7 linked regions of the Xenopus tropicalis genome follow. The protein of the gene in region 1 interacts with the protein of each later gene in a pairwise test. Links are inferred from orthologs where the notes say so. Each region holds a gene or a part of one and is shown on either strand. Other genes may lie near its edges. The genes, in order: golga2, cdk18, thap7, msrb3, rgs8, ccdc150 and krt78.2.

The links.
Region 2: the proteins of golga2 (region 1) and cdk18 interact in binary tests that used the Homo sapiens proteins (3 or more experiments, as listed by UniProt). The two-hybrid records come from large-scale screens. The link is inferred for Xenopus tropicalis from reciprocal best matches to the Homo sapiens genes GOLGA2 and CDK18.
Region 3: the proteins of golga2 (region 1) and thap7 interact in binary tests that used the Homo sapiens proteins (3 or more experiments, as listed by UniProt). The two-hybrid records come from large-scale screens. The link is inferred for Xenopus tropicalis from reciprocal best matches to the Homo sapiens genes GOLGA2 and THAP7.
Region 4: the proteins of golga2 (region 1) and msrb3 interact in binary tests that used the Homo sapiens proteins (3 or more experiments, as listed by UniProt). The two-hybrid records come from large-scale screens. The link is inferred for Xenopus tropicalis from reciprocal best matches to the Homo sapiens genes GOLGA2 and MSRB3.
Region 5: the proteins of golga2 (region 1) and rgs8 interact in binary tests that used the Homo sapiens proteins (3 or more experiments, as listed by UniProt). The two-hybrid records come from large-scale screens. The link is inferred for Xenopus tropicalis from reciprocal best matches to the Homo sapiens genes GOLGA2 and RGS8.
Region 6: the proteins of golga2 (region 1) and ccdc150 interact in binary tests that used the Homo sapiens proteins (3 or more experiments, as listed by UniProt). The two-hybrid records come from large-scale screens. The link is inferred for Xenopus tropicalis from reciprocal best matches to the Homo sapiens genes GOLGA2 and CCDC150.
Region 7: the proteins of golga2 (region 1) and krt78.2 interact in binary tests that used the Homo sapiens proteins (3 or more experiments, as listed by UniProt). The two-hybrid records come from large-scale screens. The link is inferred for Xenopus tropicalis from reciprocal best matches to the Homo sapiens genes GOLGA2 and KRT1.

The regions. Positions count from the first base shown.
Region 1 is NC_030684.2:22,941,211-22,944,710, forward strand, and holds part of golga2 (golgin subfamily A member 2), read right to left. Parts: intron 1,001-3,500; coding exon 890-1,000; intron 690-889; coding exon 609-689; intron 1-608. UniProt on the Homo sapiens protein: Peripheral membrane component of the cis-Golgi stack that acts as a membrane skeleton that maintains the structure of the Golgi apparatus, and as a vesicle thether that facilitates vesicle fusion to the Golgi membrane.
Region 2 is NC_030678.2:73,186,443-73,190,431, forward strand, and holds the start of cdk18 (cyclin-dependent kinase 18), read left to right. Parts: upstream 1-1,189; 5' UTR 1,190-1,664; coding exon 1,665-1,764; intron 1,765-3,989. UniProt on the Homo sapiens protein: May play a role in signal transduction cascades in terminally differentiated cells.
Region 3 is NC_030683.2:102,966,062-102,970,237, forward strand, and holds the start of thap7 (THAP domain-containing protein 7), read left to right. Parts: upstream 1-1,376; 5' UTR 1,377-1,538; intron 1,539-1,598; exon of another isoform or gene 1,599-1,623; intron 1,624-3,906; 5' UTR 3,907-3,933; coding exon 3,934-4,013; intron 4,014-4,176. UniProt on the Homo sapiens protein: Chromatin-associated, histone tail-binding protein that represses transcription via recruitment of HDAC3 and nuclear hormone receptor corepressors.
Region 4 is NC_030679.2:57,611,790-57,614,867, reverse strand, and holds part of msrb3 (methionine-R-sulfoxide reductase B3), read left to right. Parts: intron 1-1,526; coding exon 1,527-1,679; 3' UTR 1,680-3,078. UniProt on the Homo sapiens protein: Catalyzes the reduction of free and protein-bound methionine sulfoxide to methionine. Isoform 2 is essential for hearing.
Region 5 is NC_030680.2:100,224,642-100,228,628, reverse strand, and holds the start of rgs8 (regulator of G-protein signaling 8), read right to left. Parts: upstream 2,801-3,987; 5' UTR 2,357-2,800; coding exon 2,229-2,356; intron 1-2,228. UniProt on the Homo sapiens protein: Regulates G protein-coupled receptor signaling cascades, including signaling via muscarinic acetylcholine receptor CHRM2 and dopamine receptor DRD2.
Region 6 is NC_030681.2:100,035,247-100,039,281, reverse strand, and holds the start of ccdc150 (coiled-coil domain-containing protein 150), read left to right. Parts: upstream 1-1,235; 5' UTR 1,236-1,268; coding exon 1,269-1,328; intron 1,329-1,610; coding exon 1,611-1,759; intron 1,760-2,938; coding exon 2,939-3,159; intron 3,160-4,035.
Region 7 is NC_030678.2:148,011,085-148,015,285, forward strand, and holds the start of krt78.2 (keratin, type II cytoskeletal), read left to right. Parts: upstream 1-1,401; 5' UTR 1,402-1,501; coding exon 1,502-2,158; intron 2,159-2,267; coding exon 2,268-2,488; intron 2,489-3,620; coding exon 3,621-3,681; intron 3,682-4,201. UniProt on the Homo sapiens protein: May regulate the activity of kinases such as PKC and SRC via binding to integrin beta-1 (ITB1) and the receptor of activated protein C kinase 1 (RACK1). In complex with C1QBP is a high affinity receptor for kininogen-1/HMWK.

The sequences.
Region 1 (3,500 bases):
GTAGCGCCGCGCACGCATGCGCAGTAGAGTGAAAAGCCGAATTTAAAAAACAAAGTCGGCTTTTTACTCTACTGCGCATGCGCCGGCCGACGGATTTCGCCGGGAGAAGAGAGAGGAAGGAGGAAGCGCTTGCTACAGGTACCCTGGGCTGGTGCTTTTTTCTCCTAACAGGGGCACCAGCCCAGGGTACAAGGTAAGCGATCTAAGTCACTTGGGGGTGCTTAACATTTTGGCACCCCCAAGTGACTTAGCCTTTCCTTCTCCTTTAAAAAACTGGAAAGAGTCAGAAGAGAAAGCAAATAATTCAAAAACTATATTAAAAGTAAAAATGAAGACCAACTGCAAACTTGCTAAGAATAGGTCATTCTATAATATATAAAAAGTTAACCTAAAGGTAACCACCACTTTTAAGGGAAAGTCCACCTTGTAATAAACCAAAACACGCAAGTAAGGATCCATTACACATTTACATTGCACGGGAAAAAACTAATTCCACCAGGCAACATAAATTAAAAACTGCAATGAGATAAAAATGAAATAGCTGTGAGTTTTGCAAGACCAGCAAAAAGGTAAAGCACATAGCCAGCAGCCTTTCCAGGCCGGCTCACCTTCATAGTGGCCAGTGAAGGGATTGATACCCCATTGGATCTATGAAGATCTGACACCAGCCCCTTCAGAAAGGCCTGTATCTAAAAGTAGAAGATAAAAGGAGACAGAGAAGAGAGAAGGAGAAAAGACATTTGCTCATTTTGGAAAGGCAGAAAGAAAGACTTTACGCAATGAAAAGCAAGAAGTCTGCCACCTCCGTTTATTTCGCATTGCCATACAAATGCAGCGGAGCGTTACCCTGCACAGGGCAGGATGATCAATGAATGTTTGCTTCACTCACTGGGTCTGGAGAGAGCCGTGCTGGGTTATCAGGATCAGATTCTTTGGACTTTTTCTTTTTCTTGCCTCCTGTTGGCGCCGGAACGGTCGCCTTCTGCTGAAACTCCTTTAGCTGTGGAGAAAACGTGACAATGTCAGTTATACCATGCATAGCTGTGGTTAAAAGGGAAGCAAACCAGGTCATACAGTTATCTCATGAAACTTCCCAGGGCTACGGCAAGAATACCTTTCTGCGACACTCTGAATAAAAGTTAGTACAGGTATAGGATCTGTTATCTCGAAACCCGTCATCTCCCATAGGCTCAATTTTTTTTTTTTTTTTTTTAAATCAGTTTAATGAAATATACATGAAATTTACAGTGGTACATTTGCGTTTTTTTCTTTTTGTTATTAATGAACAGATAAAGAAAGAGAAACATAAGAAATTAACACAAACAGAAATAAAATGGACAATGCATAATTTTGATTGTGTAGTGTCTTTTTTTTTGGGAAACAGTCCGTGGGGTTAAGTATACCTGTGGCTAGGAACCTTCCAAGTCTATCAGACAAGAATTAAAGTGATGATAGATGGATGTTTGTAGGGTTGGGATATAGTTGGATATAGGGTTGTAAGGGAGGGGAGGGGATTGCACAGCATCACCAAATTCAATCCAGTCTCCCCAAACCATGTAGAATTTATCTAGACCGTTTTGTCTCATACAGGTTATTTTGTACAGTAGTATCGCTTTATTGATAATCTCTACCCAGATTGTAGGATTGGTGGTAGCCTTCCAATGAAGTGCAATGGCCTTTTTAGCATTCATAAGTAGTATTGAGAGGAGTGTACATTGGGCTTCTCCTAGTGGTAGTTTCCTGCACCCGGTTTAGGAGCATGATTAAAGGGTTCACTGGTACCACTAGGTTTGTCCTAGCTTGAATAGTTTGTGATATCTGGTGCCAGAATAGTTGTAACTGTGGGCAAGTCCACACCATGTGAATATGGTCTGCTACTGGGGCAGAAAATTTGGGGCATGTTTGCTCTATATTTGGGTTGATTCTATGTAACCATTGTGGGGTAAAATATATACTGTGTAGATATTTTAGCTAGGTCAGCTTCCATAGGCTCGATTTTAATCCAATAATTCAGAATTGTAAAACATGTTTTCTTTTTCTATGTAATAATAAAACAGTACCTTGTTTTTAATTCCAACCTCGATAGAATGAATCCTTTCTTGGGGGCCAAACAATCCCACTGGGTTTATTTAAAATGTAAATGATTTTAAGCAAGGAATGGAGATCCAAATTATCAAAAAAAAGAACCCAGGTCCCAAGCATTCTGGATAACAGGTCCCACACCAGTATGATGGTTACCGAGATGTAGTTGCTTTAATGTTTCGGGCAGGTGTCAATTGGACAGATTTGATTTTCCCTTTTGTCTGGGGACGGCATTGGCTCAATGACAATTTTTTTCAATCATTCTTGGGTCCTGCGAGTGCTCCATTCTTAAGCCCCCCATACACGGGCCGATAGAAGCTGCCGATATCGGTCCCTTGGAACGACTCGGCAGCTTATCGGCCAGTGTAGGGTCAGAAACGAGGGGCCTGGCCGACTGATATCTGGCCTGAAATTGGCCAGATATCGATCTGCCAGGTTAGAAAATCCAGTCTGATCTGGGACCGCATCGGCTCGTTGATGCGGTCCCCGAACCGACTGCCCCATTGCCGCATACAGAATTCGATCGTTTGGCCCCAGGGCCAAATGATCGAATTCACCTACATGCCTCCCCGATATCGCCACCCGTAGGTGGAGATATCGGGTGAAGATCCGCTCGCTTGGCGACATCGCCAAGCGAGCGGATCTGCCTGTGTATGGCCAGCTTAACATGGATATGTGTATGTAAGTTCAGTTAAGCTATAGTTTCTCTTACTCCTGTGTAACTGGAGGAGTCATGAGCCGGACTTGCATTTCTCACTACTGAGTGCTATTCTCATATCTACCACCACTTTCCCATTGTTATGCTGATCGGCTGCTGGGAGGGGGGGGGGGGGATATCACTCCAACTTGCAGCTCAGCAGTAAAACGCGACTGAAGTTTATCAGAGCACAAATAATACATTAAAAAAATGGATTTCAATGCAGGATTCTGCTGGAGAAGCTCTATTAACCGATACGTTTTGAGAAAATACATGTTTTCCCATGACAGTTTCTTTAACTGCAGGTAGACAATGTGTGCCAACTCTCTCTGAAGCCAGCCACACTGGGGTACACACGTGTGCAGCTGCCTGCACTGGCAATCTGTGGGTTCTAGCAAACGCCAGAGGGGGATGCTGTAAGATGCCATAGACACTCACTATTTATTGGGCTGGTGGGAGCTGTTTGGGCCTCTGTTGTTGAAATGCCAGGGCCTATTTTAAATCGCAGTCTGGTCCTGCTTAATGGATAAGAGACTGCATGTCACCTGGATCCGGGTGGCAGAGTAATACAAAGTATGTGGAAAGGGGGTGCCTCCTCCACAAAATAGCATTACTTTCCCTTATACAGGGTTTTTAAGAAATGTGTTGTTAACCATTCTATAACTTTTCATCAAAACTTGCCCTTTGCAGTCAAACTTTCACTGGTGATCTAACTGGTTGT
Region 2 (3,989 bases), on another chromosome or scaffold:
TCTGTACCAGCCCAAGGCAACCATCGCTCTTCAACAGGGAAGATCTCTGCCTCTAAACATGCCCCCAGTAGCTCCCCATTATCTTTTCTGCTAATTTACTGCACATGCTCTGTGGCGCTATTAGTTACCTGTTCACAATATACTGAAGATAAAGAATATAAAAGTCACAATATAAGGATGATTAATAAATACTACAGATTATTACTGCATGGCAGCTCTGAAACCATGCACAAGTTTAGAAACTTACACGTATTTTTAGGAACCAAATTCATAAGCCCTGAGGCTTAAATTGCCATCCCCTAAGGGAAGAAAGGTAAACAACATGGTCAGAAAATTGATTGGGAGGGGTTTAAAATTTTCTTCTTTAAAGGATTACATTTGTCCGTTAATAGGATGGACAGGTTACAATCTCTTAACAATTTGGAAACTGTACGTATGGGGCAGTGCTTCGATGACAGGTGTCAGAGGTTGCATGTACTGTACCATTATGTGGTACAAATGTTCATTTAAAAAGAATTATAGCAGTAAATAATTATATATATTCTCTTCTAGTTTGGGCTACTATATTTTAAATGTTCTTTTTTGATGTCAACATACAATAAGGAACAAATCTTTTAAAAATTTGCCTGTGCATGGTGACCTTTACACATATACTGTATTTTTGAACTTGTTTATCTGAAGCCCAAGTCTGGATTTGGTCTTTAAAATAAGAGGCACATTTCTCATATAAAGTATATACAGAGAGATAGACATTTATTGAAATAAAGCAGAAGTAGTTACACCTAGCAAGGAGGCACTGAGTTCATTAACACGCCCACTGCCAAAAATGGAAGCAATAAACAGCAACTACTGTGCAAAGTTTAAAAAATATATGTATTAGTCACTCTTTGGCTCTGTAGGAATTCTGGGAGTTGGAGTTCTACAGTAGCTGAAGGGATTAAAGACGGGCAGCTCTAATTTATATTCTTTCTAGACCCCTGTTAAAAACAAGGTGATAGTAAACAATGAGCGATATTCTGTAAATGCAAAGATCTTACTAACTGCAGGTTTATTCTAGGAAATTGTATTTTTTTTTTTTTTGCTTCAACAGATTTCCTTTAATGAACCTGCAGCCACTTCCTGTTCTTTAGTGTCAGCTATATAGAATCTGAAGCAGAAGGAATGTAGACCTTTTGCAAAAGTGAGAACAGGACACATGTATATCAACAGTAGGATGGGAGGGGTTTATGTCCTGAAGAGCTTGCAATCTGCCAATGACACGTTGCCTTCATTTGCAGAGAAGGGACAATCTGAGATCCTCCTATCATATCTACAAGACATTGATAAGAGATGCAGCAGATGCAACCCTCCCACACTTACCCTCACTCTGATTTCTACGGAGCCAGCCTGTACTTCTTTCTGCATTTTGCACAGCTAGCTCTCAGCCTGGCCAAATCCTTTTTACCTAATGCACAGATATCATAACAATCTCTGTCTTACTAATGAGAGCCTCACTTGCTAAAGCCTGATACACAGACAGTGTTTATGATGCCTCTCTGATTCAATGCACAGCTTCTTCATTTCATTCCACATCCAGGCACATACAGGTTGCCTTTGTTTTTCCCAGAGCCTTCCCACATTTACACTCCACCGTTCTCTTTAACCTTCAGGTCAGCACCATCACCATGAACAAGGTGAAGAATTTTAAGCGTCGATTCTCCCTCTCTGTCCCTCGGCCAGAAACTATTGAGGAATATAATCAGCTGAATAGCCGGTGCGGTGAAGGTAAGTGCTAAAGGCTGAGTGTGTTAAGGTTGGTTACTAGAAAACCACATATGAGTCTTTGCTATTATGTCACTTTTCAAGCGATCATGAATACATGAATTTTAATGTATAATTTACAATAACATTGCATATTCCTCTTATTTTAATTTTGTTGAGTTTTTAATATATTTATTATTGTAGAAACATATCAGCCTGCATGTGAAGGGAAAATCAAGATAGCAGTGGTGTTGGTAGTATACTGTAGGCATATATAATTACCAGTTAAGTGCATTTATGCACATCTACATGGTATGCACACTGAGGTTTTGATTTGTGTCCAGGACAATTTTTAAGATTTCCAAAGAATGGAAACAAACTACCGTATATACTCGAGTATAAGCCAATCCGAATATAAGCCGAGGTACCTAATTTTACCTAAGAAAACTGGAAAAACTTATTGACTCGAGTATAAGCCTAGGGTGGGAAATGCAGCAGCTATCGCTAAGTTTCAATAATTAAAATAAATACCAATAAAATGACATTTATTGAGGCATAAGGGATGTTGAGATTTCTATCCCCACTGGAGAATAACATCTGTATGATGGCGACAGGCATAGTGATCACACTGCATAAGTACATTAATACACCAACGGGAAATAATACTTTTAGTATCTTCAGCCAAGCAACAGTGCAGTTGCGGGTTAAGACTTACTTTCCAGACTGAACTATACAGCTGCCTTCCCTTCCCTTCCCTACTTTCTCTCTTTCCACCATTATAACACACAAAAGCCCCCCTTAACATAAAAGAAATTCTATTCTTTCTTTTGGTCACATTGTGTTTGGTCTACATTCCACCCCACCCCTTCTGCACAGGCCAATTAATGCATAAGGTCCCTGCCCAAATAACCCTGCCTGCAGACACATGCCTATTGAGGCCTCACAAACACACAAGTGAAGACATTTACCAAGCTGGGAAGGACAACTGCCGATCCTTCAGTTACATCAATCATCAAGAGAATCGGCAAGGGGGCGCGTGGTGTCACTTCCATCCCAGGAGCACAGAAGACCGAACTATTAGGTAGTCTGGGGGGCCTGGCAGTGCGGTTGAAGCTGGCGGGAGCAGGAATTGTAACCCCAATCGCTGGAAGGGGTTGTGCAGGAGAATCGGCAAGGTGGCGCGTGACGTCCCTTCCGCCCACTTCCCTCCCAGGAGCACAGAAGACCGAACTATTAGGTAGTCTGGGGGGCCTGGCAGTGCGGGTGAAGCTGGCGCTGGAAGGGGTTGTGCAGGTCAGGCTTTCTTTTAAAAACGGCGTGTATTTCTCCCAACTCGAGTATAAGCCAAGGTTTAATTTTTCAGCACATTTTTGGTGTTGAAAAACTCGGCTTATACTCGAGTATATACGGTATATTACATTTTTATCATGCTTCTAAGTGTACACAGCATTTCCATCCAGAGGTCCTCTCCCTATAGAGCCTACCTTTTAAGTTTGTTGCCTGAGGCATAGAGGGATTTGCTGACATTCCCATGGAGCTAAAAGAGGTGTTAGTAATCTAACTTGACCTGGAGTGCTGAGACCTACACACTCAGTCACTCCTTCTCCCTTATTTTATTATATGGCTATTTGAAAAGTGTAATCCACTAACACAAGCGCAAATAGTTACATAGTTAGTTACATAGGGTTGAAAAAAGACCAGAGTCCATCAAGTTCAACCCTTCCAAGTAAACCCAGCACACACAACCTATACTTACCAATCTATACTATCACATACATAAACTTTATATGCAACCAATAATACTAACCGTAGATATTAGTATCACCATAGCCTTGGATACTATGCTTGTTCAAGAACTCATCCAGTTTATGCTCATTTTTTGCCATATAGGAAAATAGAAAAAATACAGAGTGTCAGCTCTTTCTTTTCAGGTTGGATTAGTGGGTCAAAAGTAGAGATACTTTTTGTGTTGACAGACAGCAAAACTAAAACATATTGTCACTGTCACAACTCATTCCTAGTTGCAGATGTTTCTCCTGTTTGATCTAATTTGCCAACCTTATTAAAAAGGATGACACAAAAACAAACAAAAGTAACACAGTAAAAATGACAATGTCCAGGGACACAGCCAAATTAAGAAATCAGAACATCAGTGACAAATTTGCAGACATCAGCCTTCAGTTTCATTGGGTTGATGTACCTCTGGGCTGGTTCAGTAAGCTCTATTCATAAGGTGAATCACTTAAAGG
Region 3 (4,176 bases), on another chromosome or scaffold:
TGCCAAAATGGGCATGGGCGACAAAAAAATCTCACGACAAACACGTTTTGCAAATTTAGCTGTGGCTTCACAAATTTTCCAGCGAAGCAAAACAGGACAAATTCGCTCATTGCTAGCTAACAGACTCCTGCCTCACTAATATGGCAGCCCCCTCAGAGGAACATGGGGGATCAGATAGGTAGAGCATCAAGCCAATACTTTTATAGCAAAATTATAAATAGCATTCAAAGACAATTTTATGATAGACATAAAAAAAGCTTAATTTCTGGTGTCAGTATGTCTTTAAAACTGCCCATGAAGTATGTCATGGACAACTTGAAACCGTACTAGCCACTAGGGGTTAACCTGCTGCACTCCGCAGGTTAACCCCTGCTGTGCTGGCTCAGCCATAACATAAGCAACTTTTCACTTGGTCTTCTGTTGGTCTGTGATGCTACAATCTTATTATTACTTTTTATAACCTTTTTTTTTCTATTTAATCCCTCTCCTACTCATATATCAGGCTCTCATTTAAACCACTCCCTGATTGCTAAGGTAATTTGGACCCTAGCAACCAGATAGCTGTTATAACTCCAAACCCGAGAGTTGCTGAAAAATCATTGAAATTATTAAAAAAACTACAAACAAAAAAATGAAGACCAACTGCAAATTGTCTCAGAATATTACTCTCTACATCATACTAGGGGGCCGATTCATTAAAACACAAGTTCAAATCCCGAATGGGAAAAATTCGGATTGGATACGATAATTTCTGAAGATTGCAAATATCACGAAAATGCTTGCGAAAAAATCGTATTAGTCACGATAATATCGTATTGGTGATCCGAAAGTCACGAAATTTTCTTACCGAACGATTGTAAACAGCGGCAGAACCTTTCCGAATTTTTCGCGCAAGTGTACAAAAAAGTCACGTAAGCGCGAAAAAATCGGCGAAAATGCGCTCGGAGCGATCGTTCGTGTCTTTTTAAATCTCCCCCTAAGAGTTAATTCAAGGTGAAAAAACTCATTTAGAAAATTTGTTGTAGGTCAAATATTGGAAGCAGAGGTTATAGTGGCAGCAAGTACTCTTAGTTTACAAGAAAACATTATTGCTCCATAGCACAAATGGGAGTTCTAAGAAGGGGGGGGGAAGGCATACTTTTTTTCAACAACTTGGTAATGCTGGCAGCTATTGACACAAGCAAGAACAGTGAGCACAGAACAAAATAAATGGTGGGAAACCATGTGTTACTATCAGCGTGTTTCAGTGTAATAACTATATGCACTGCTGCTCAAACAACGTTCTACTCGCTACTCCACCTAGTGGCAGCAGCCCTACCTTGCGTTTATATAGTGTCTGGCCGTGACGTCACAGTCTCATCTCGCGAGAGCGTGACGGAAGTCTCGGAAAGTAGGCCGACAGGAGCCCAGGAGCTAGGCATCGAAACGGCGATGCGGGATATTTAAACGGCGATGGGGGACATTTAAGAAGCGATCCGGGACTGCGGGCTGTGTTATGAAAGTCGGGGCTGTCTCGCCAAAAGCGGGACAGTTGGGAGGTAGATGCAGTTTAGTTAGAGGTTGAGTCTTACACCTTATATTCTTTGCTGTCTCTACCCTTTATATAACGTTAGAAACTCCAAGGTAAATGTGATTTGAGTTGGATGAAGTGATGTGGGCAGAAGTCATGTGAGATAATCCCTTGCTAAAAAGTCTGCTGTTTCATGTGCAAAGATAAATCCGCTCTCCCTAAAAAGCAACTTTGTAGCATTGTATCGAATTCCAAGCAAATCGCAGCTGGTATATGTCTTATTAGAATTATTAGCCTAGCAACCAGGGAGTAGTTTGTAAAGCAGAATGGGATATAAGCAGTGGATGACCCGAAAACAAAAAAACATATGAAAATGCAAGGGAAGCATTACAGTCACCCTGTTGTTTTGGTTGCTCCCACCCTACCAGCTGTTTGTGCCAATGCCACCCTGTGCCAGCAGCTTGACCCATTCTTGTTGGAAGGGGGGAGCAGGCAGGCCCGGACTGGCAATCTGTGGGTTCTGGCAAATGCCAGAGAGGCTGCTGTAAGATGCCATAGACACTCACTATTTATTGGGCTGGTGGTGGAGGGGTCATTTTGGGCCTCTGTGTACAGGTATGGGATCCCTTATCTGCAAACCCCTTATCCAGAAAGTTCTGAATTATGGAATGGCCATCTCCCATAGACTCCATTATAAGCCTATAATTCTAATTTTTAAAAAAGATTTCCTTGTTCTCTGTAATAATAAAACAGTAGCTTGTACTTGATCCCAACTAAGACATAATTACTCCTTATTGGGGGCAGAACAATATTTAAAAGATTTTTAACAGACTTAAGTTATGGAGAATTACGGAAAGATCCCTTATCCAGAAAACCCCAGGTCTCGAGCATTCTGGAAAACAGGTCCCATACCTGTACTTGATGTGCCCGAGCCTATTCTGAGTTTCACTACGGAGCTAGGTGCAGCTTCATATTTCCGGTGGCATTTCATTTGTTGCATTCATGAAAATGCATTTTCACATTAAAAGTAATGTTTAGTAAGTTCAGGATGATGAAAATATAAGGTGGCTGTCCAGCTGAAGGCTGCATACTGTACGGGGCACTCCCAGGAAAGGGCTGGATTGATTTATCATTTTGCTGTGTTCTTGTTCCACTACATCCATGTCCTAACTTATTTCTATAAAATCAGCATCAGGAGTCTTAGGGCTCTGGAACACGGGGAGATTAGTCGCCCGCGGCAAAACTCCCTGTTCGCGGGCGACTAATCTCCCCGTGTGCCAGAGCCCTTACAGTAAACATGGATGGGTAACAGCATAAACAGCAGGGTTAGAGGGCCCTGCTAACGAGAGCTGTTATGAGAGAATTTGCAGTTGGACTGCCTTACTTAACATTCATTATTTCTTATTGATTTAATATTTTGCTATACAGCTCACCAGTATTTAAACTATTATCTGTTCACACTGACTGAGTGACTAAAAGATGAATTCACTTTTTGGTTTGACATTTTCTGCTGGACTAGAAACACAAAAAGTGGAATAAGAAAATAAATTGAAATTGTGTAATGAGACCTTTTGCATTATCTCATAATAGCACTCCTGTGTATTAGTCATTGAGGTTTGTTATTTCTTTACTATAATTGTAATTACATAGCACTGACACATTCCTGCAGTGTGTTATAGAGATTATACATCAATCACTTCAGACCCTGCCCCAGTGAAATGTATAATCCAAGGTCCCTATCACATTTGTGCACACAAGGGTCCATTTAATCAAGAACCATGTATGTTTTTGGAATGCTGGGAGGAAACCCACACTAACACAGGAAGAATATAGAGTCTTTGCAGATAGTGCCCTGGCTTGGATCCAGCTTAGTACTGCAAGGCAGAATTCATATCCATGCTGTCCTGTTTGCTGAACTACTCTGATGTTTTTTAAAGGAGAAGGAAAGTTATTTTGGCATTTTACTGCCAATAGATTTGCCACAAAAGTGCCACCTAGAATGCTATATTTATTCTGTAGACAGCTTTATCATACCTGAGTAAAGAACCCTAGAAGCTTAAGGGTGGGGGGAGTGAGTTTTTTGAATTCTTAAGGGAGAGAGGAGAGAGCTGCACAGACTCTGGCCCCAGGAATGAAGGATTTTTCTTAAAGAAGGGAGTCAAATACCCTGAGAACATGTTTACAAAAAAGGAGACAACAAATCCTGTGTTTCTTTTAATAGATGACTCAGTGCAGCGTTTCTGTGAGTGCTTATGGCTGTATTTACTTTACCTTTCTGCTAATGCTTACCTTTCCTTCTCCTTTAATAGTCGCTTCTTGAGTGGAATTTTCAACTGCAAGCAAAATCTAACTATGGTGATTTTGTTTAGATTTATTTGCCTTATTTTTTGTTTTAGATAAGATTCTTATTTGAAAACTACGAAATGGTGCGATCATGTTCTGCTGCTGACTGCGTCAACCGTCAGACGGCACTAAGCAAGCGCAAGGGTATAACTTTCCATCGGTATGTATGTAACAACCTCACTGCCCTCACCGTGAGAAACCACCTACGCTGCTTCAAATGGAAGCTCCGTTCCTCTAATCTAAAGGGGTGGCCTCTGGTGCGCTGATTGTTTTTATGGGAAAAAAGAACATCCCCCATCTGCCTATAATCCCCTCTAATGTAC
Region 4 (3,078 bases), on another chromosome or scaffold:
TTCTGACAATCTTTATTTAATGTGTGGTTTTGGGGATTTTTTTCACTTATAAACTAAAAAATATTCTTATGAAAACAAAAAATTTTAGATTAGATTTTTTCATTTTGGTTCTGCATTTTAATTTGTTTGTACTTTTTATATTCTAATCTTTTACTAAATGGTTTTTGTGGAAATGAGTTTATTTGTAGTTTCAAAAACTCTACCACTAAAATCAGAATGTTGATAAATGTGCCTTTTAGAGGTCCAGTTATCAAAATTCTCATTTTCTGGTTTTAGAGGTTTTTCCATGAATCTTCGTGGAGTGTTAAATGAAAAAAAGACCATGAAAACTTCTGCAAGGACAAATTAAAGAAAGATTGTTACTATTTGCCTCGGACAACTCCCGTTCCCATCCTTCTACATGACCTCAACAGCTTTTAGATGGCAAAGTTTTGTATTAATGTTTTTCATGGTTTTGATACTTAAATCATGAAACACTGGGTTTTTTTTACACCAAAAATTGAAGTTATGGGATTTTGATGATTAATGGAAAAAAGAAATATGAACATTAGTAAATGCCCCCCATAGTGTTTCACACACCAACAGACATATGCATCCTTGAGGATTTCCCTTAGTAAAGGGTTCTTCCCACTCTTTTGGTGCAGGTGCATTTATTATAGTTTTAGTTCCTTCCTCCTCTTTAAAAGTGTTCGGCTTGTTCCTGTAAAGACATTTCTACACCGATGAGAGAAGAATATTCCAAGATTACAAATCTTCTAATTAATAGGGTTTAAGTAATCATTTGATGCTTCACTGAGCATGAAAAATAGTGAAAACCATATGCCATGGTCATACAAGTGAGATTTCAGTCCAGGTACAACAATTATAGGAATTTTTTTTAGTTACCTGAAACAGAGTTTCACCTTTGATTATGGATTATTTTTCTTGACTTAATTATGTATCATCAATTTAGAAATATTCCAAGAAAAAAAAAGATGCAAAGCGTATCAGCTTTTTGCACCTTGCCCCTATGATGTTAACTGTTTGCCTCTATAGGCTAAAATCGTTGTGGTCACAAAATGGGCCAAAGAGAGGGCAAAGGGTTGTGCTGGTTCCTCTATGTGAGTCTTATAATCACAAACTATGGTTCTTTTAGGGATGCAAGGCACTGGGGTGCCAACAATTTGGGCCATGACTGTAACATTTTTAGGTCAAAACCTGTCCGTGCCCATGGCATAATTCCATAAGCCCACATAAGAAACTGCTTATTTGCTAGTTATAAAGTTAGAAATATGATAAAGTTATTTAGTAAAAATATGGTAATGTTACAACAAACTCATCTTCAAGGATGATGAAAAGAATGGTTGCCCATTTGGTATGTTTCTGTATTGGAAGTGGCAAAACGCTAACGCTTAGGTGTGTCAAAGTATACATTTATTCTGCTACTGTAATAAAAACAAGCATTACTATTTACCAGTTGAGTATTTCACAGCAGCCATGTTTTTTTTTCATCAACGTAACATCCTTTTTTTTGTATTCTGTTGCAGTGTGGAGCACACCTTGGCCACATATTTGATGATGGACCTCGTCCTACTGGTAAAAGATACTGTATAAACTCTGCATCATTAAACTTTGTTCCAGAGGTGCCTGATGCCGCCATAGACAGCACATCGGCTTCATCTGAAAAGAATGAACTGTAAACATGACAACAGAATTAGCAAATTATTCTTATAGCCTGTGTCTATGGGAACCAACCTTCCCTCGGACTGCCTGCACCATTGCTGAATTTTGCATTTACTACATAACTAACATTCACCATTTTGCCTGATGTATTTAAAAATATTGCCTTTATTCTGTTAGCTATATGTCCCGACTTGGTTACTAATGTTAAACTTTTTTGAATAGTTGAAGCCACACAGAGTAGGTGAATTGAATAATTCAGGTAGACTTTTGTAGACTCTTTTTCCATGTAGCAAATATTACTGCAAAATAAGACGAGTTGACTGAATTGAACAGAACAAAGGTGAGGCCAGAGGAGTTGCGTTAGGAACACATGCAGTGATTTGTACCTGTTGTCACTTGTTGCCAAGAGTTTTAGTATCTTGTAGACTGATAAAATTAAAGGGGCAGTATCCCCTTTGTTCAACAAAAGCTCAATGAATAGGGCTTGGGTTGAACATACTTTTTGCCTGTTGTTTTAATAATGAAAAATCTGTGGTTTTCATTATTTCTTTAGCTAAACAGGTCAAACAAGGTGACTGAAGCTACTTCATGCTTGCTGCTTGTGAGGTAGATAATAGATTACCAGTATACAACCCCCTCCCTTCTACCTCTTTTGTGAAGTTTCTTATAGTCCATTATGCAGGGGGTTATCTGTGCATCTAACAATCTAGCTTGCAAGGACCAAACATAGAGTTGCTTTAGTCTCTCTGCTTGGCCTGTTTAGCTGAAGAAATCATACATAGTTTTTTCAAGATTAAACAGTAGACAAAAATGATGTTTGGAACCATTCCTTTCCATTAAACTCATGTTACAAAGAAGGCATACCAGTTGTCCAAGCTGGTTCTTAATTTAGATGTGGTTTTGCCACATTCTATACTGAAAATGTATCTTTTTTTCTGGTTGCTGTTCACTACTAGCATCGGTAACTTTGCTAAAGCATAGATCCTGATGGTGAGATTATTAGAATAATTAGTATTTTGTTTTACTCTCCATTCATTTTCATATTCCATTCTATCATCCCTACCACATTCTAGTTGCCACCAATTATAAAAGAAAGACCAAATGCATATTGTTTTACAATACCAGGATCTCCATGGTTGTTTCTCGAGCTCAACTTTGGGGCTTGCTTGCTGCTGCTTCTTCAACTTAGCAAATGTCCTAAATAACTACATTCTTAATGTTCTCCTTCTGACTATGTAAATGTGATTAGCATTTGCAAACACTTATAACCCTAACTGTAACTGTAGACTTGGTAGTGATTTTTAAATGTATAACACCTCAGTATGGGATAATGGTTCCTATGCACTCCTATTTTTAAGGTTCAAACAGCAACCAAAGTGTGCTAGCTGAAGTGGGTGAACATTAACGATAACTAGA
Region 5 (3,987 bases), on another chromosome or scaffold:
TGCTGTCAGTTAATGAGTTTAGGGACCGACAATATACTGCATATATATGATATAAATGTCACAATATAAGGCTGCTTAGTTATTAACACAGATGATTACTGCATGGCAGCTCTGAAACCAGTGCTATTAGCATCAGACTTTAATCATCAGCCCGTTAGGATCAGCTTATATGACAGGCAAACATCATTTTCTTTGCTTGATAATTTCCGTCGACCCCTAAGCCTAGCTTTTCAACAGCTGCTCAGAGCACACTGAGCGTGTGAGTGTTGCAGACACTTCTAACAGAAGTGTCCAGTATATGTCCAGTATGGTCACCCCCAGTGACAACTGTAAAAGACTGGATTATTACTACTATAGAGATGTTGAACTTTTAGGCTGGTTCAATAAGTTCATTCTAATCATCTAAAATATGGCATGTCTACCAATATTCATTTTTAGGGTATAGTTCTCCTTTAACCCACTTTTGGGCAGGAAAATTGGTCCTAGGTATAACAAGTATTAACCTGCATTAATATATGCACTATATGTGCAAAGCTTATTGTGGTCTAAAAACAGTGGGAGCTAGTTGAGGCCCCATTCCTGATGATGCAAACATGGTGGTATGCCAGAGGTGCATTAGGCCCATTAGGTCCCTCATATGGGACTGCATAATATATCACTTTTCTATGGGTGCTCCTATGGCAGCAGATTATGAATACAATATATTTTAGAATATATTTTAGAAGAATTGTCTTGAAATTCAAGTCTGATCTACTATTTAGTATGCATAGGCTTATGTCGACTTATTCTTGATAGTGGTATTTGAAGCTATGTTTCTCCTTGAGCTCTGACTGAAAGCAACTACAATGATAAAAAATCTTTTATGCTGCAATTAAAACCCCTGTTATGAAATGGTTTCATGTCTACATGAGTATTTTGGTTGGATCTAGGCAGCTTAAAGCAAGGTTTTGCAGAATTCTGTTCTAACAAATAACAGAATATGTTTCATTCTTTCAGCCTCTCACATTTTGCTCACAATTATATTGCGAGACACCCAGCCCAACAAGTAAGTTGTAACTGACAATCTGTCACACATTTATAAATATGGGGCAAATTTGCACCTGGGCAGTAACTCATAACAACCAACCAGTGATTTTTTTTTGAGCCACCTGCAAGGAGAACAATTAAATCAAATATCTAAATGGTTACCATGGGTAACAGCCCAGGTGCAAATGACCCCCACTGTCTCACTGTATTAGATCTCATCTAACTGACGCTATTACTTGATTAAGAAGATATTTTCTGAAAGATTTTCTAAAATGATCATCTCATCAGCATATTGTTTGTCAATGTTATCAGCAATAAACATATATATATATATATATATATATATATATATATATATATATATATATATATATATATATATATATATATATATTTAAACCTATACTAATACACAACAAGACAGAACTGCATTCCTCCAATAACCAGTTGATTCCAATGATATGTTTTTAGTGCAGAAAAATAGGAAATTGATAGAGCAGACCCTGCAGCTCTGAACATCTCGGCAACCCTTTGCCCTCTTATTTTTCATGTTACTGCTGTATAAGGAATTCATATGTATTCCATCAATCACTATAAATGATCAGTGCCCAAAAAGCCCCACTCCAACAATGTTCATTTAGTATATCAGCCCCAACAGCAATGGGATTTTTTTTTCTAGTTCTTAGATTTCATTTAATGAACCAAACAAGCAAGGATGGAATAGACTGAAGATGTGGGTGTTGAGTCCTGTGCCTATAAATACACATGCAGTGTGCAACAGCCCTGATGTCATCGCTCAGGTGAAGGAATGTTTTATCCAGCACAAATGTGAGCAGAATGCAAGTGTGAATTAAAATATCCTAACGGAAGAATAGGAATGTTTTTTTTCTATGAAGGAAAATGAAAATGGCAATAATACAGAAAGCATTACAATCATTATTAAGATACACACCATGTCGTTAACTGCAACTGATGGGTGATTAATGTTAGCTGCATACACTATCATTTGCATTGATCTTAGACATTTGATCTTCCAAGGCTGGAATGATTTAAAACTGGCTACAACATAGGGAATTCTGCACAGACTGTAAAAGGAGAATATGCAGATTAAATGGACTAGTGACAACATGGTGACGGTTTTTAAGGTTTTGGGAAGAAGAACAAAGGAATTTAAGGGGTGATATGAAGGTTGGCATCCTTACCCCAGATTAGACCCACATGGTCTTGCCGGTTTTCCTGTTCCATGACCCCCCAATGCTGCATCCATTTCGCTGGCTGAACGTGTTGGACAGCTGAGGCTGAGAGAGCGGAGTTTGGTGCTTTGATGCATATTGTTCAGAAAGGCTAGACCCCCTGCCTAACAATTAATCCCCCCAAGCCTTCTGCCCTGGTTTGTGTGACAGCTCACTCTCAGCCCTGCTAATCCCCCCAGACAGACCTTCAGTCCATGCAAGTGATGTGTGGAATGCTATTTGGATACACTGTCATAAACCCTGCCATCCCTTGCAATTGCCTGATGCATAGCACTATCCTTGCTGCACGGGTACCAAAACACTCATTGTCACATGATGTCTGTTTCAGGCATCATAACCTCTCCGCCTCTTGCACCTATTTATAGAGGCATTGAGGAGCCTCTGCAGTGAGTAATGGACTACAGGTTTAGCATTAGCTTTAAAGATCAGTTATAATCCATTGCTGTTCTGCCATCAAGAGATAACAGTGTAACAAGGAGAGAAATCTGCAGCTTTTCTACATGGAGAAACCCTGGAGAATGAGGGAAACGCAGAGAGAGAGAAGAGAGAAAGGGAAGAGCTGTGGGAATAGCAGTCAGAAGGAATCAGTTCATAAGGCAGAGACATTAAAGTGATACGAGCACAGGCTCTGAAGCAGAACAAACATAGAAATGACAGATCTCCCTTGGCATTAGCATGTATTAGCTCACATCTGTTACATTTGAAGATTTTTCATTTTAAAGGATAGTCATCTGATAATTTGTTAAAATACTAATGGGATTACTTTTAATTTTCAATTTAGTGCCTAGCACCTTCAGGGCTATCCCTGTAATATGATGTTGGCACCCACATTCCTTTAAATGCCTCCCCTAAGCTTCAAATAGTTTGGCCATTGAGCGGTCAGCAGTCGGCCACCTTAACTTTTAGATGCCATGGCATTTATTTGCCTACAGAAATTCACTGGCTAACAGGAGGGACTTGCCATTGGAAGATTTGCATAGAGTCTTGTTACTAGGTTGTTGGTTCTACTTGAATTTACAAATCTTTTGCTTTACATTAAGTAAAAACAATTTTTTTAAAACTTGCATTTCTATCAATGGTTAACAATGTATATGGACCCCGCCTGGATCACAGAGCCTGGTTCAGCTAGTCAGCTATCATATTCCTCTTTCTTCTTCAGGGAAAGATGAAGCACAGAACAGGGCTTTGTTGCTTGGAGGGTAGTTTTCCCATCTAATATTCTCTTTAATCTCCTAAATTACTTTTGGCACATCTGGGCCACTGGATTTCCAGGCCTCTCAACATTCATCTTTTGACTGTGCTTTTCCAGTCAAGGAATCTCCTAATGCATTAGAATGCAGAGCTCTTATTGACTGCTTCTTTGAGCAAGTATTTGTCAGACCAAGGGTTTTAAATGTATAAGAATCTACACAAGACTCCAAGAACTGCCCTGACCATTGATTTCTTCATATTCATTCCAAACATCCATCCACTTTTCATTTCCTCATTTGGAAATGCAGAACTGATATAACTGAATCACTGGGTGCCTAGTCTGCTGAATGACAGTTCATGTTTAGCACTTAGACTTCCTTTGCTATTACTGTATCTATTTTTTATTTTGCATCACTTTACAGAGATTGTTTATTGTTCACATAAGTCTCTGCCTCAATGGAATTTACAATGTGAGTGCCCTATTGTTTTTACATACACTTAGGCTAATTTAATAAGT
Region 6 (4,035 bases), on another chromosome or scaffold:
TAGTCTAATACCGATGAGAGAATATCTGAAAATATAATTATAATGAGCATATTGCTTTGAACAAAGCTGACAGGAAGGACTTAAACTGCACATGCTTTTATGGAACAATACGTGAGGGAAGCTAAAAGGAAATTGAATCTGAATGAAATCCAATCTGAATACAAGCAAAAAAGAAGCAAAGGATTGCAGCAGTCACAGTGGGACGCACGACAGGGAAAGGACCGGCTGTTTACTGATAGAATTGTTACAGAACATAGAGAAGATCAAGGAGTCTGATAACAGGTGCATGTCTACTCTCTCAACTAAACTGTAAGTTCACAGTTCTAGTACATAATTACATTATACTATATTAAACTATATTCATCAGAAGCATAAAGAGTATCTGTCTCTCTAAAAATATTTGTCTGTTGCAGTTCTGGTCCATAATTATATTTTTTTGGATCTGTTGCTGCTGCTCTATCTAGAATCTGAGATTTATGTTTGTGTGTACCCTGCACTAGTAAAAATAATGCACCTGCGTGTTTGCTTTGGATGCACTACTGTAGACTGTCCTCAGGAGCTCTAAAGTCTTTTTCTTCCCTAAGGGGTCCTACCTCAATCACTCTTTGCCTTAATTAAAATGTACCTTTCATAATTATACACATCAATTAGGATACATACTGTGCAGGCATTAAATACATGCTGGTTTATTGTACAACAACGGAAGTGTTGGTTTCAGCTGTGGGAGAGGTCAGCGCTGTGGGAGGGGTCAGCAGTAGTGATGTGCGGGTTGAAAAAAATTTGACCCACACCTGATCCTAATCTGCTCTCTAGCTACCTGCACCTTACCTGGGCTGCCTGCTATAGACTTCGGCATCCCAGGTTTACTAGCAGTGACAGGTGACATTCCCTTCAATGGCAGGCATTTCAAAAAAGTTTTTGAATCCCTGTTGGTGTAATTTCTGGTGTTCGGCGAGAGAGTGGTGCATATGCCCAATTCTCTAGACACGAGTGTGCTTTTGCTGTTGACGCAGGGCACTGAGAAAACCCTTGAGCTACATCCAGGTCCCAATGTGGCAGTAGCTTCAGGGTTCCCCTGTGCAGCAGCACTTGATTCAGAAAAGGAAGCAGGAGGAAGTTAGCGGCTGTTAGTGGAGTGAAACTATAGGCAGTGCAAGGAGCATATAATGTTTTATTTTATATGCAACTAATGTGGAGGAATTTGCCTTTGTTTTTTCCCCTTGCCCAAGTAGGAGTTTTGAGCAGACAAAAAAAAAAACTGAAAGCGCATGCCTGTGGACTATCATGCCCTGAAAACTGAGACTGTCCCACAAAAAGCAGGACAGTTGGTAAGTATGTCATAGAAGCAGAATTATGATGCCTATGACTGATGATAAGCCCCCTCAGAGAGTCCCAGTAGAGACTCCTGTGTGGTAGTGCAAATTGCTAAATTTGTAGGGTTGACATAAAGGCCAACAAAAATAGTAAACTATTGACACTATCCTCCACTATCCTGCATTATTAGTGTCTTTCGTTTACTATTTTTGTCCATCTAATGGTTAAAACAGGGATTGTTTTCAGGCCCATTGTACATTGCTCTTTTGTGTACTCTTGTGTTTTTTTCTTGACAGATGATGGATCGAACAGTGATCTCTCCTCTCAATATCCACCCCACAGCCCCTGAGACATTCTCTGTACTGCAGCAGAGAATGTGTGTGGCAGAAGAGCAGACAGAAGCATTAATTAGTGACTTGAGAGCACTTGGTGTTAGCAGTGAGAGGTCAGTGTCTGTCCTATAACAAGACCATAAAGTCAAACTCACTATATACTATATAGTTAATGTGTGGTTTTATCAGTACACTCTAAGTTCATTTGTAATTGTATAGGAAGGCTGATATATATAAAATACCCTTTATAAAGTTACTTAGAATTGGTTGATTTGTAACATACTAAAAAATTATTTAAAGAAGAATCTCACCTTTAAAGCTTTCTCACATTGGAGCTCATTTAACAAGAGTGGGCAAATTTGCCCATGGGCAGTAACCCATAGCAACCCATCAGTGATTACCTTTTTTCAGCCAGCTGCAGGTAGAACAATGAATGTAATAATTTGGTTGCCATGGATTACTGCCCATGGGCAAATTTGCCCACTGTTGATAAATTACCCCCATTGTCTTTTAAGGGCATGCTAACACGATATTCCTACCTGTCCTTATTCCTTTTAAAGGAACAGTAACACCAAAAAATGAAAGTGTATAAAAATAATTAATATATTATATACTATTGCTCTGCACTGGTAAAAGTTGTGTGTTTTCTTCATAAACACTACTACAGTTTATATAAATACCCTGCTGTGTAGCCATGGGGCAGCCATTTAAATTGAAAAAAGGAGAAAAGGCACAGGTTACTAAGCAGATAACAGATAAGTAGCATAGATTCCCATTGTATTGTACACAGTTTATCTGGTATCTTCTTATGTAACCTGTGCCTTTTCTCCTTTTTTCAATTTAAATGGCTGCCCCCATGGCTACACAGCAGCTATTTCTATTAACTACAGTAGTCTTTCTGAAGCAAACACGCAACTTTTACCAGTGCAGGGCAACAGTACATTATATTTTAATTATTTTAAAACATTTTTATTTTTTAGTGTTACTGTTCCTTTAAGTTACTAGCTCATTGAGAGAATTTCAGGCCCGCACATCACTAGTTTGTGCACAGTTTTTTGGCGTACTGCACAGTGCCAACACAGCCCTATTAGCAGCTTGGGTTACTATGCTGTTCTGTATGTTCTCAAAGAACAGAAGGTAGAGAATGAATGTAACTAGAATGATTTTCTAATAACATCCTAGGATACATAGGCAGCAGTTAAAATACATATTATGACACAGAAAAAGCAAGCTCAAAATAGCACAGTTCTTCCTTTTCACTTCAGCACTGCAGTGTATATTATTTGTTGCAGATTTGAGAGTAAAGACTTTGCAAATCAAAAGCCTGCTCACATCATGCGGCCAGTCAGTCCTCTAAAGGCAAGGTTAGCATTTACAGGGGACAATGATACATTGTGGAAGAACTGCGAGAATCTGGTAAATCGCATGTGCCATATTGAAAGCGTAATGCAGACACTAAAGCTCAGTGTCTTTCGAATGCAGACTGAGCTGAAACTGAATCCAAAGCACACAGGTAAGTAGTTATTTGTTTCCAATAACCACAAAAAGGTCAATGACAATTTTACAAATGCTTTGGGTTGAAAAACCCAACATACTGTTCTTCCACTTCAGTTTATTCTTCCGCTTTTTCTTCTTCTTCTTAACGCCCCCATTTTCTAAACACTACTCCTCCTACAGTTTTAGGGGTACAACACCCAAACTCTCCACACTTCTTTGTCCTCTAGGGGAGCAGGTTGCTTATGCTTTTCTAAGAGATCCCGGCCCCCGAATTTTTGTGAACACCCCAATTTTCCCCTTGACTTTGACAGGAAAGATTTTCAAACTGCTGCCACCCTTACAGCTTTGAAGCGACACCCCCCAAACTTGAATAACATAATCATGGGGTCACCCCAAACGAAACAGCGACATTTGTTGGATGACCCAAAGTGGGAGGGGCCAACAACAGCCAATCAAATTTCACCCATTGACTTTAATGGGGAAATTTAAACTGCTGCCACTCACACTTACAGCTTTGAGGCTGCACCTCCCAAACTTGAATCACATAGTCATGGGGTCAGCCTGAATGAAAATATGATGATTGTTGGATGCCCAAAAGAGGGCGGAGCTGGGATAAGCCAATCAGATTTTACCTATTGACTTGGCGGAAATTCAACCTGCTGCCATTCTCACAGTAATAACACCAGGGTCCCCAAACTTTGCAGAGTTAGGCACCAGGTAACTGCGGTTCAAGGTTAGAAAAAGTGGGCAGACCACCAACAGCCAATCAGATTTTACCTATTGACTTTCAATTGGGAAATTCAACCTGCTGCCATTCTCACAGTATTAACAACAGGGTTCCCAAACTTTTCACAGTTGGTCACTAGGGGACTGTAGTCCCACAATTTTTATG
Region 7 (4,201 bases), on another chromosome or scaffold:
AAACAGAATAAAAGAAAGAGTTTTGCAAGGGTTAGTTTCCTCGTATTATCATCATTTATTTATATAGTGCCAGCAAATTACTCAGTGCTTTACATTTATTTACAGGGATTAATTAAATAACACACAAGGGTTAGAATAGGTTCAGATGTCCTTACTTGCAAGAGCTTACAATCTAAAGATTAGAAGAAAGTTATAGACTTGAAAAAGATTTTTGCAAAGTGCTGTGCCAAAATGTTAGTGCTAAAAAAGAATGATAATAAAAAATAAATGTAAATCTGTTATGCCAGTGACTTATACAGCACAGACAGCTACCAAAATATACATTTCACAATTCTCAATATGTTGTTCAGAACCTTGTCGTTCCAGTGGCACATCACAGAGCCTCACCCATAGCATCTGCTTGTGCAACCAAGTAATGCAATGTCAGGTCATATGTTCATCTCTTGATGGGTCTTAGATGATGGCAATAATTGTTGCAGTCAAGCCAGCACTACAGGGATTAAGTTAAAAGAAATTTTACCATCATTGGTTTAAACATACGCAACTAAAAACACATGACACATTTAGAACTCCAATATGTCCAATATCCTTTGTAGTCCTTATAGCTTTTGTAACTGTCCTGCTTTGAGCTCTTCGCTGCATCAACTGAGTTTCTGCACTTGTCTGTGGGTCTTATCTGAGTTACTACTCCCTATTTCCAATGGACGACAGTACTACATTCTCAAGCTCATCTGGATACCTACTGTAGGTCCTGGTGAATAGTAGCTTGCTATTTCAGCTGTGGTTGACTTCTCCTTCTGCACTTCATCCTACTGAAGGAGTCTTGCTCCCTGCTCCTGGTTGGAATCTTCTTCTACTCTTCAATTTTCTGGCTTTACCAAGTACCTTACCATGCAGCAAATCAAAGTGACTGAAAGCTGGGTGCACTGTAGATGAATAAAAGCTAGACTGAACAGCAGCCATTTAGTCTATTAATCCATTCTAATAAGCTGATAGGCAAAAGTGTGACTCACGGCAATTTATTTTTCAGTCAGCTTTTTAAATTCATTTATATTAATATGCTGGCACATAATTTTGTGGATAACACAAAGAGACAGGTAAAATATGCATGCTTTGTATTAAAAAAAAAGTAGCCTGAGGATCTTTTTGGAATATCTCTAGCAATATGCATCCTTAATTTAGCAGATGAAAGGATTTCATAACACCAAAGCCTTCAAGTGAGGTAATTTTTAATACCTTTTTTTTTACATAAAGAGGTGTGTCCCAATTTATCAATCCACTAAATATGTGCTGCCAGGCATGCCAAAGTTGCCAAGCCCATGATTACAGTAAATTGATCTTCTGATTCCCAAGGCAGCCAAACCCACTTTTAAAAATTATATAAAAGGTGGAGAAAACGCTTTCTCATCAGAGGGGCTTAGATTCCCTTCATTCTGACTTCTTCTTCTGTATCTTAGGCTATTACTTTCTTACTTATAGCTGTTTCTTTACCTCTGTCAAAATGAATAGGGGTCAGCAGTCATTTGCTAGTAGGTCTGTAGCGGGCACAAAGAGCTTTAGCTCTTCTTCGCTTGGTGGTGGAGGCCTTGGAGCTAGAGGTGGTGGAGGTAGAATTAGCTTTAGTTCAGCTTCTGTGTCTAAAGGAATGGGTGGCGGTCGTGCTAGTGGTGGTGGGGGAGGATTCATACAAAGTGGAGGTGCCAGTTTCAGTTCTCAAAGCCTCCATAACCTCCATCCTCTTGGAGGAACAAGAAAAACTGCCATTAGTTCAGGCAGTGTTCGTGGAGCAGGTGGTATAGGATTTGGTGGGGCAGGAGGTGGAGGATTTGGTGGGGCAGGAGGTGGAGGATTTGGTGGGGCAGGAGGTGGAGGATTTGGTGGTGGAGGATTTGGAGGTGGAGGATTTGGAGGTGGAGGATTTGGAGGTGGAGGATTTGGTGATGGTGGATTTGGCGGTGGCCTAGGAGGAATAGATGGAGGTTTTGGAGGCATGAATTTTCCTGTATGCCCTCCTGGTGGAATTCAGGAAGTGACCATTAACCAGAGTCTTCTGGCACCGTTAAATCTGGAAATTGATCCAGCAATTCAAAAAGTGAGGACAGAGGAAAGGGAGCAGATTAAGACCCTCAACAACAAATTTGCCTCCTTCATTGACAAGGTGAAGAACATTTTAATTTCTTTATATAAAAAAAACCCTGTACAAAATTTGCAGATGCATCGCTGACAGTAACATTATTCATGCATTTTGGTTTGCTTTGTTGTTATAGACGAGATTTTTGGAGCAGCAAAATCAAGTATTGAAGACAAAATGGGAACTCTTGCAAGAACATGGGCAAAAAGGGGTTACAAAGAGAAGCAACATTGTACCTCTCTTTGAAGCTTACATCAGCAATCTGAGACGTTCATTGGATTCGCTGCTTAATGACAAACACCGCTTGGAATCAGACCTGAGAAGCACTCAAGATTTGGTAGAGGATTACAAAAACAAGTAAGTTGGCATGGCTGTTAAGCTATTAGGCTAGATACAGATATGAGGTATGGGTAATTATAAATACAGTATAGTATGGCATCTGTTATCCAGAATGCTTGGGACCTGAAGTTTTTTTTTTCTGTAATTTGGATCTTGAAACCTTTTGACTCCTTAAAAACACTAAAACAAAGGCAATAGGATTGTTTTGACACCAATATGGATTCAGTTGGATTGTTCAGTTGCCATCAATACAAGGTACTGTTTTATTATTACAGAGAAAAGGAAGTATTTTTGAAAAATTGTAATAATTTGATTAAATTGGACTCATTTGGAGCTTTCTGGATAAATCCCTAAGGGATCCCATACCTGTATTTATTTACAGGTATAAGCATGCTAATTACTACAACTAAATTAGCTGTTTGCATTAATGTTATCCCATCGTTTTGATGCTGTGCACCAGCTATTTACTATTTTCCATGCTTGGGGGAGGGATTATTAAAAAAAACAGTGATGTCATACAAAGAGGTCCATGTAGACTGTACTTGTCCTGGGTGCCAACAAAAATCTCTTAGACGTCCATACCCTTATGTGTCTAGTTGGCCAGCCATGGTTTTGATCATAACAACCATTGTGTAACACTGCTTAGTAAATTACTAATGGGAGCTAATGGGATGTTCCCTCTTCCAAATCTACAAAAGTCCTTTAGACTGGCTATTGTGTATATGCTACTTTTTGTGCAATTTTGGAGTGCTTAGTACCACAGAGCTGTGAAGTTCAGAAATGATTGCAAAATACATTCTTCCTTGCTTGTGACAGTTCTTTAAATGCATTGGCTGTCGTGCTAGGGGGTTACTTATTTACAAAATCACAATATGTTACTTTTTAGATCTCAGCACTTTATTTTTCCTGATGTGTTTAATTGTAGCTGAAAGCTAGAGAAATAACTAGTCCACCCAGTGTCTATACAAACGTAAAGTACTGAGAACATACATAGATCAAGTGATTAGGATCAAAGGGGTATTAATGTTTTAAAAATGAATATGTGCTCTTCTAGGGTTGAATAAAATAATGGCAACGAGTTATACATTGCTCTATAGGTCAAGTCACTGTGTGGGTTAAATGTGTGGTCTAATTTGTTTCATCTCTGTAGATATGAGGATGAAATCAACAAGCGCACAACTGCCGAAAATGAATTTGTAGTGCTCAAAAAGGTAGGTAGTGAATGCATTGCACCAGTGAAGAGAAGCTTGGGTGTAATCACAGAAGATAGTAAAGAATGGCTGTGTAAACACAGGATGAACCTCTACTGATGGCCAGCACTGTTGCAGGAGGAAACAGTTAGATCTACTTAATTTGGCCCAGCATGTGGATGGTTAAAGTGGGCAAAGATTGGTAACTTGCCAAACTAACAGGTCTTTATGTGTATATCCAGCTTTACAGTCAGGATGGTTTTGCCTTGCTGAGACAACCAGAAGGCATTGTGTCATTGCTGGCTGAGAAGAAGCAGAATAGCAAAGCTTATAAATGACACAAAATAAAAAATAAAAGATTTAGACTAATTGAAAAGTTTCTTTATAATACATCTGCCTTAAACTTACTAACAGTTACTATCACTTTTAGAACATAACTTTTACTTACAAGACTAATTTGTTAAAACTACATTCTCTTAAGGCCTTGTAACTGTTTTGAACATAATGCAGTCTATAACCTTTGTGATTAAACCTACTCAGC